Linked DNA regions of Ovis aries. The protein of the gene in region 1 interacts with the protein of each later gene in a biochemical or structural test. Links are inferred from orthologs where the notes say so. Each region holds a gene or a part of one and is shown in the gene's direction. Other genes may lie near its edges. The genes, in order: CHM and RAB7A.

The links.
Region 2: the proteins of CHM (region 1) and RAB7A are reported together in a solved structure, tested with the Homo sapiens proteins (2 studies listed by BioGRID, with this or other methods). The link is inferred for Ovis aries from reciprocal best matches to the Homo sapiens genes CHM and RAB7A.

What each region holds. Positions count from the first base shown.
Region 1 is NC_056080.1:77,545,249-77,549,065, reverse strand, and holds part of CHM (rab proteins geranylgeranyltransferase component A 1), read left to right. Parts: intron 1-2,309; coding exon 2,310-2,697; intron 2,698-3,817. UniProt on the Homo sapiens protein: Substrate-binding subunit of the Rab geranylgeranyltransferase (GGTase) complex.
Region 2 is NC_056072.1:59,079,685-59,083,501, reverse strand, and holds the end of RAB7A (ras-related protein Rab-7a), read left to right. Parts: intron 1-1,236; coding exon 1,237-1,365; intron 1,366-3,249; coding exon 3,250-3,345; downstream 3,346-3,817.

The sequences.
Region 1 (3,817 bases):
CTGTGTTGGTTTTGCCATACATTTACATGAATCCGCCACGGGTGTACATGTGGCTGAATCCCCCTCCCACCTGCCTCCCCATCCCATCCCTCTGGGTCATAATGGTGCACCAGCCCCAAGCACCCTGTATCATCCATCAAACCTGGACTGGTGATCCATTTTACATATGATAATATACATGTTTCAGCGCTATTCCACCAAATCATCCCACCCTCGCCCTCTCCCACAGAGTCCAAAAGACTGTTCTATACATCTGTGTCTATTTTGCTGTCTTGCTATAGGGTTATTGTTACCATCTCATCCTCTGTCGTCCCCTTCTCCTCCTGCCTTCAGTCTTTCCCAGGATAAGGTTGTTCCCACTGTGTCAGTTCTCCACATCAGATGGTGAAAGTATTGGAGCTTCAGCCTCAGCATCAGTCCTTCCAATGAATATTCAGGATTGATTTCCTTTAGGATTGACAAGTTTGATCTCTTTACAGTGCAAGGGACTCTCAAGACTTCTCCAACACCACCGTTCAAAAGCATCAATTTTTTGGCATTGAGTCTTCTCTGTGGTCCAACTCTCACATCCATATGTGACTACTGGAAAAACCATAGCTTTGTCTAGATGGACCTTTGTTGGCAAAGGAATGTCTCTGCTTTTTAATATGCTGTCTAGGTTGGTCATAGCTCCTCTTCCAAGGAGCAAGTGTCTTAATTTCATGGCTGAAGTCACCATTTGCAGTGATTTTTGAGCACAAGAAAATAGTCTTTTGCTGTTTCCATTGTTTCCCCATCTATTTGCCATGAAGTGATGGGACCAGATGCCATGATCTTCGTTTTTTGAATGTTGAGTTTAAGCCAGCTTTTTTTACTCTCCTCTTTCACTTTGATCAAGAGGCTGTTTAGTTCCTCTTCAGTTTCTGCCATAAGGGTGGTGTCATCTGCATACTGGAGATTATTGATATTTCTCCCTGCAATCTTGAAGAAACAGTTAACATGAGCCTAATTATGGAGACTTTGAGTTGACAAATTATGATTTAAGAGATGCCATGTTGGAAAGTAGGTGAGATGAGACAAAAGTTAGTAAATAAAAAAGGTGATTTTGTTTAGAGACTGATAGAGGAAGATTTTATAGGGGTAGAGTTGAGATTTGATTTAAGAACTGCTCTTAGGTCTCAAGCAATCAATTAGCAGATGGTTATTTCCCACAGCCTATCATGTATGAGGTAATTTTAGTGTTGAATAGTAGCGCAACTCAATGAAAAGGAAGGATCTGTAGAGGATAAAACACATCATGGAGAGATAATGGTGCATGCTGAACAGGAACTTTTTGTGTCGATCAAGGCAGTAATGGACTGAGAATGTGAAGTCTAGTGGTAATATTGAAAGTGGGGCTTCCAATAAAGTAATAGACATTAATATTGAAAACAGCGAGAATCAGTTCAGAAAGATCCTGTTAGATACCACATTGTGATATGTCAATGTACACTTTTATAGCAGCTTTTTAGCTTTGTCACACCTCATATAATGGTAATAATCTTTGATACTTACTGTTGAGCATTTATGTGCCAGGCTCTGTACCAGATTCTTCACTTGTGTTACCTCATTTAGTCTTCAGAACAACCTGGTGAGGTAGTTGGTATTATCTTTATGTTATAGATGGATAATTTGCATCAGAGAGGATTAAAAAACTTGTCTACATTCACAGAGTTATCTAGTCATAGAGTCTGGGTTTGAACCTCAATCTATTTATTCTGAAGGATGAGCTTGTAAGCACTGTGTTGATTTGTTTCTAAAGTGCAATTCCTCTGTCTGCCTTAACTTCTTAAAAAATACACGTGATTAATATATACATGCATACTGTATAGCACTCAGTATTCTGTAATATGGAGAAAATATCTGAAGAAATGAATATATGTACATGTATAACTGAATCACTTTGTTGTACACCTGAAATTGATACAATATTGTAAATCAACGATACCCCAAGACAAACAGAAATAAATTATAAAGATAAAAATCTGCTTTTCAGATATACACACACACACACACACACACACACACACACGACATGCCTGCTAAACCCTGAAATCTTTATGTATATTTTTTCAGACGTTAATTATGTTTCATATTGTTTTAAAACCTAAACAGATGAATGTTTAATGTGTATGTCACATAAAGCAAGACATCCACTGAATCTGATAAAATAAATGAGGTAAAGAAATAAAAATTGCCATTAAAAGTTAAATTGATACATATAAAAATGTACCCACGTATAATTATCACTTTGATTATTGGTGTGGATTATTATTATAATTTCTCATCAGTCAGGATTTGCATGAAGATGTGGAAGAAGCTGGTGCACTACAGAAAAATCACGCTTCTGTGACATCTGTGAACTGCACTGAAGCTGCAGATTCTGCCTGCCTGCCTATAGAAGATGAGTCATTAAGAACTACAAGCTGTGAAATACCGGCAGAACAAACTCCAAGCAGTGATCCAGATAGAGCCCTAGAAGTAAATGATGTTCAAGTGACAGGGGAAAAAGAAAACCATTGTGATGATAACACTTGTGTGCCCTCAACTGCAGAAAAGGAAACAAGTGAAAATGTGCCTGTGGCCGAAGACACAGCAGAACAGCCAAAGAAAAATCGGATTACTTACTCTCAAATCATTAAAGAAGGCAGGAGGTTTAATATCGATTTGGTATCAAAGGTAAGTAACAGTTTTACCCATCTTATCATGGAACTGTACTAATTTCTAATTGATTGAATATAGCATCTGAGTCCATAAACCCAATTTTCATTATTTTATTCTTTGAAATGTAGAGTGTTTATTTTATAAAGAGATAGTATCTGTAATTTATAGTTCTATTAAAATATTCCTTAGACCTAAGTTAAAAACACAACAATGCTCAGTACTGTATCACACGGTTACTTCTGTATTGGAGCATGTACTCCACCCAAATATTCTCCTACTACATGGACACTTTGAATTCTATCAAGAAAACATGTCTAATGAATCTAATTATGGGTCCATGTTATTATAGTCAATCTATTAAATAAACTTCTTTTTAGCCCTTATTTATATAGTAACTATTTTGACATCTGTATAATGATGAACATTTTGAATAAACCGATACATTTCAAAAATAATTGGTTCAGATGTGAGGGCTTTGGAAGATAATTTAATAGTAATTTGGGCAGGGAGGTTAGGAAGGATGCAACTGTCTTCAGTTTTTTTTTTTTTTTTTATTCCCATTCTTACCTCTAATGTTAGTCAACATGAATTCAGAGGTGGTCCCCAAGTCTTTGGAGCATGCAGTGTTGCACTGGATTTATAGGAAGCAAGACAAATTTAGTGCAAAAGAATAGAAAACACTAGTAAGATAAAATAGTGGCTATAAAATGTTATAATATAGGGCTGGGTGAAAGTAGAGAGACCAAATACCATAAGTTGAGGGCAAATGATGAGAAATTGCAAAGAAGTTGGAGAGGGTAGTGAATAATATCAGACTAGGATTTTTTTATTTCATGTGCTCTCTTGAAGTTCCATGTTATAAAGAAAGGAAGTAATGCTCCTCATATTTTGCTGATCTAATCATACATCCTCATCCTGCTGATCTTTTTGAACCTGATGCTTGAAAATATATCTTTTTACTACTCATTGTTTCTTCCTAATGTAGGTCTCTGTGCCTGATTCTGCCTCGGTCTGAGTTGGCTACTGTCTTGGTCCTTCCTCATGTTTCTGAGCTATCTATTCCACCTAATTTGATCCTGGCATGCTTTGAAATTTACCATTCTTTCCATGTTACCTTGGCAATTAGTTTCTGGGT
Region 2 (3,817 bases), on another chromosome or scaffold:
CCTGTGACCCCTGCAAGGGAAGGGTAGAACTAACAAGGGGGCCCCTGGCCACCCTTGGGTGGGGCCCGGCTCCCTGGGAGCAGAGCAGGGTGGGTGTGCGGGGTCGGAGCGCCCCGTGGAGTGGCCCCCTGCCAGCCCTCCTGGCTCCAGTCCAGGCTTGACCTCTGGGCCCCGTGGGACCTCGGTCTCCTGGCCGTGGGGCCCCAGAGGGCCTGCCCAGCGCCCTGCTCTCTCGCCTGGGCCGCCTGTTCTGAGGTACCCTGTGCACACGGAGGGTCTGTGCTGAGCACCTCGTGGCTCTGGGGGTGCACAGGGGCGCCATCTTCAGGCCGGCTGCCCCTGGGGACTGGGGCCCAGGAGGCCCTCTGAGACCCCCACACCACCCGCACAGCCGTGACTCGGGCTTGTGGGCGCCTCTGCTTCTGACCCTGGGGGAGGGTTCGGTTGCCATCAGCTGTCGTCCTCCCGCAGCGGGGCCCCCCCAGATCCCGCGGGGCGGGAGGTGCTTTGGGCTTTTGAGTAAAACTGCTCTGGCTTCCTTTCCAGTAGCATCTCTGGGGAGTGTAGACAGAGATGTCGGTGTAGACAGAGATGTCGTCAAGCATAGCCGAGTTTTCCTGGTGGCTCAGACGGTAAAGCGTCTGCTTACAATGCGGGAGACCCGGGTTCAATCCCTGGGTCGGGAAGGTCCTCTGGAGAAGGAAATGGCAGCCCACTCCAGTACTCTTGCCTGGAAAATCCCATGGACGGAGGAGCCTGGTAGGCTACAGCCTATGGGATTGCAGAGTCAGACACAACTGACCAGACTTCATTCACTCACTCATAGCTGAGTTTATTTTTGACCAGTCAGCTCTTTCCTAAGTGAATTGGTTCTTCTCTTGTTCCTGAAAACAGGCTCGGGTGGGGAGTCAGGAAACAGGATGTGGCTGGGTTGGGGGCTCTGGGGCCTGGGTGTGTGATCAGGCCAGGGGTCCAGGCAGGTGTGCTGAGCGGTCACAGGAGGGGCTGGAGACCTGTCCTGGGCCGGAGGGGAGGCACTTCCTCCCGAGCTGGCTGCCGCCGCCCTTCACAAGCTGCCTCCAGGTGCAGCTCGGGGTCGGAGGCTGAGAGGGGAAAGCCCCACTGTACTGAGCTTAGCTGGCGAGGGGCTGGTGGGCGGTGGCCGGCGGGGGTCCTGGGGGTTCTTCCGCTGGGATGCCTGCTCTTCCTGGCACCTGCACCCTGCCTCCCCTTCAGGTGGCCACCAAGCGGGCTCAGGCCTGGTGCTACAGCAAAAACAACATCCCCTACTTTGAGACCAGCGCCAAGGAGGCCATCAACGTGGAGCAGGCCTTCCAGACGATCGCCCGGAACGCGCTCAAGCAGGTGGGTGTCCGGGGACGGAGCCCTGGCCTGGCCGCCTTGGCCCGCACCTTCTCTCCCCACGGGCTTCCTGTGCAGCCAGAGGTGGTGGCGGGCCTTTGAGAGCGGCCCCGTCCCGCCGTCTGTAAGTCAGCTCCATGGGGGCACACATCGAGGCCACCTCGTGTGGGGCCGCCCTGCTCGGCGTGCTCCTCCTGTTTCAAGATACACTTGAGTTTGAGGCACAGCTCTGCTGCCCGTCTTGGGATCTAGTCTGGTTTTTAAATCCTGTCTGAGCTGTACAATGAGATTGCCCGCTTTCAGGGCGTTTGTGAAGATTCAGTGAGGTGCACCAACTTTGGGAATTATCCTAAACAATCCTCATAAAGGTTAACCCAAAAGGTTCTAGGAGTCATCTTCCTTAGGTAAGGTTCTCCTGCGTTTTCTTTGTGGTGTTTATTCAGATGGTCCCCCTCCCCACCACATACCAGCGGCATCCTGTTGGCCGGTGCCGGGTGAGGGCTCCTCTGACCCCACAGCAGCAGGGCAGTGCTTTCCTCCCTAAACACTCCTGCCCCTAGAGCTCGAGTCGCAGGAGGAAGACTGTCCGACTGGTAAGGGGGCCCCTGGCTGTCCCTGGGGACAGTGGTGACCCTCAGTCCCGGCACCGCGGTGGCGTCGCTGGCGCAGCGCCCATGCTCTGCAGAGGGGCCCCTGCAGCCCTTGCCCGGGCCTCGGCCGTGCGCAGAGGTGGGGCTGAGCTGTGTGTGGTGGGCCTTCTTCTCAGCCTCTCTGGCCACAGTGAAGAACCTGCCGGTGGGTGTGTATTCCGTCTGTGGAGCCCGCTCCCCCGTGTCGCGCTCTCCTTGCGCCGGGCCCCGCCTGCAGCCCACGTGCTCCCTGCACGGCCGTCCTGACCTCACGGCCTCTCCCCTCGCTAGTCGAGGCTTTTCTCTTGGCTCTGTTTGGTTCATTATCCATTTGAACTAAGACTTTCACTCCAGGTGCAACTTTTTCCTCCTCCGTCCTCTCCCCACCACCTACCCCCACAAAAAATAAACCTTCCTGAGGTTCTAACTGTGTCAGCCAGCACCGGGCCCTGGACAGTGCCCACAGGCCGCGTGGCTCAAGGACACACTTATTTCCTGTCGGTTTCGGGGCCACAGGTCCGATCTCGCTGAGGCCTCCATTAAGACAGAACGCAGATGAGCGCTGGTCAGGGCTTGGAGCAATAGGCGGGACAGGCCGCTGCTGCTGGAGCCGGCTCGCCTCCGGGGCCGGGAAGGGCCTGATGGCTTGGGCCTGTGAGCAGACCAGGCTGCAGGGGCACACGCTCAGCCCTCAGGGAGCGAGACCGCCTTAAACTACAGGCAGTCCTGGGCGTGGCCGCTTGCACAGCACTTGTGACCGGAGTGGTTTCCCCAGAGGGCCTCGACCCGCGGGTGCTCCGCGTCTAAGGCACAGGTGAATTCTCTTCCCTAGGAAGCAGGGAGCTGCCCCTCGCTGGAAACGCTAATTCAGCCCAAGTCCCCGTGAAGTGACCCCAGGCCCTGTCCTGTGGGCCCCACACTGAGGGAGTTGTCCTGGGCGGGCCTGGCATGTGCAGCCTTGGGGGCAAGCTCTCCTGAAGGCCTGGAAGAGACAACAGACCTGGGTCCAGAGAGGGGCGCGCAGGGCGAGCTCGCGGGGTCTGTGAGGCTGGGGCCCCAGACCCTGTCCTTGTCAGGCACTGGCAGAAGCTCCCAGAGCGGGCACGTGCAGGTGGAGGGCGCCAGCCTGTCCCTCTTGCCCCTGCCCCGCAGCGTCCCTCGGTGCCCGCCTGGCCCCTCCGCTGTGGGGCCCGCCCCCCTACACCGCAGGACTTGCAGCCACCCCGGGCCCGCGGTCACCGCCTCTCTCCCTGCCCAGGAAACGGAAGTGGAGCTGTACAACGAGTTCCCCGAGCCCATCAAACTGGACAAGAACGACCGCCCCAAGGCCTCGGCCGAGAGCTGCAGCTGCTGAAGAGGCAGAGAGCAGAGCACACAGCCCTCCGCGACCGAGAACACAGGTGCAGGCCTTCCTCCACGAGCCCCTCCTCCCACAGACAGTCATCTCTCGCCCAGCTGCCCGGAGAGCCCAGCACACCGCCGACCCCCGCACACGCCCCACAGACCCACCGCCCGCCCCGCGGGCTCCGCGGCAGCAGCAAGGCCGGAGGCGCACACCCGCCTGGGTGGAGTCTGCGCTGGAAGCTTCTTCCTTTCATCCACTGGAGAGAGAACTGTTTACAGTTAATCTGTGTCTAATTAGTTCTGATTTTTTTAACCGTCTTGTGGTCTTTTTACCCACCCCCTCCTGTGAAGGCCACCACGTGGGAAGGCTGGTGCCCTGCGCTCCATCACAGGCTCACACCCAGTCTGATCAGGCTGAGTTTTGTATGTATCTGTTAATGCTTGTTACTTTTAACTAATCAGATCTTTTTACAGTATCCATT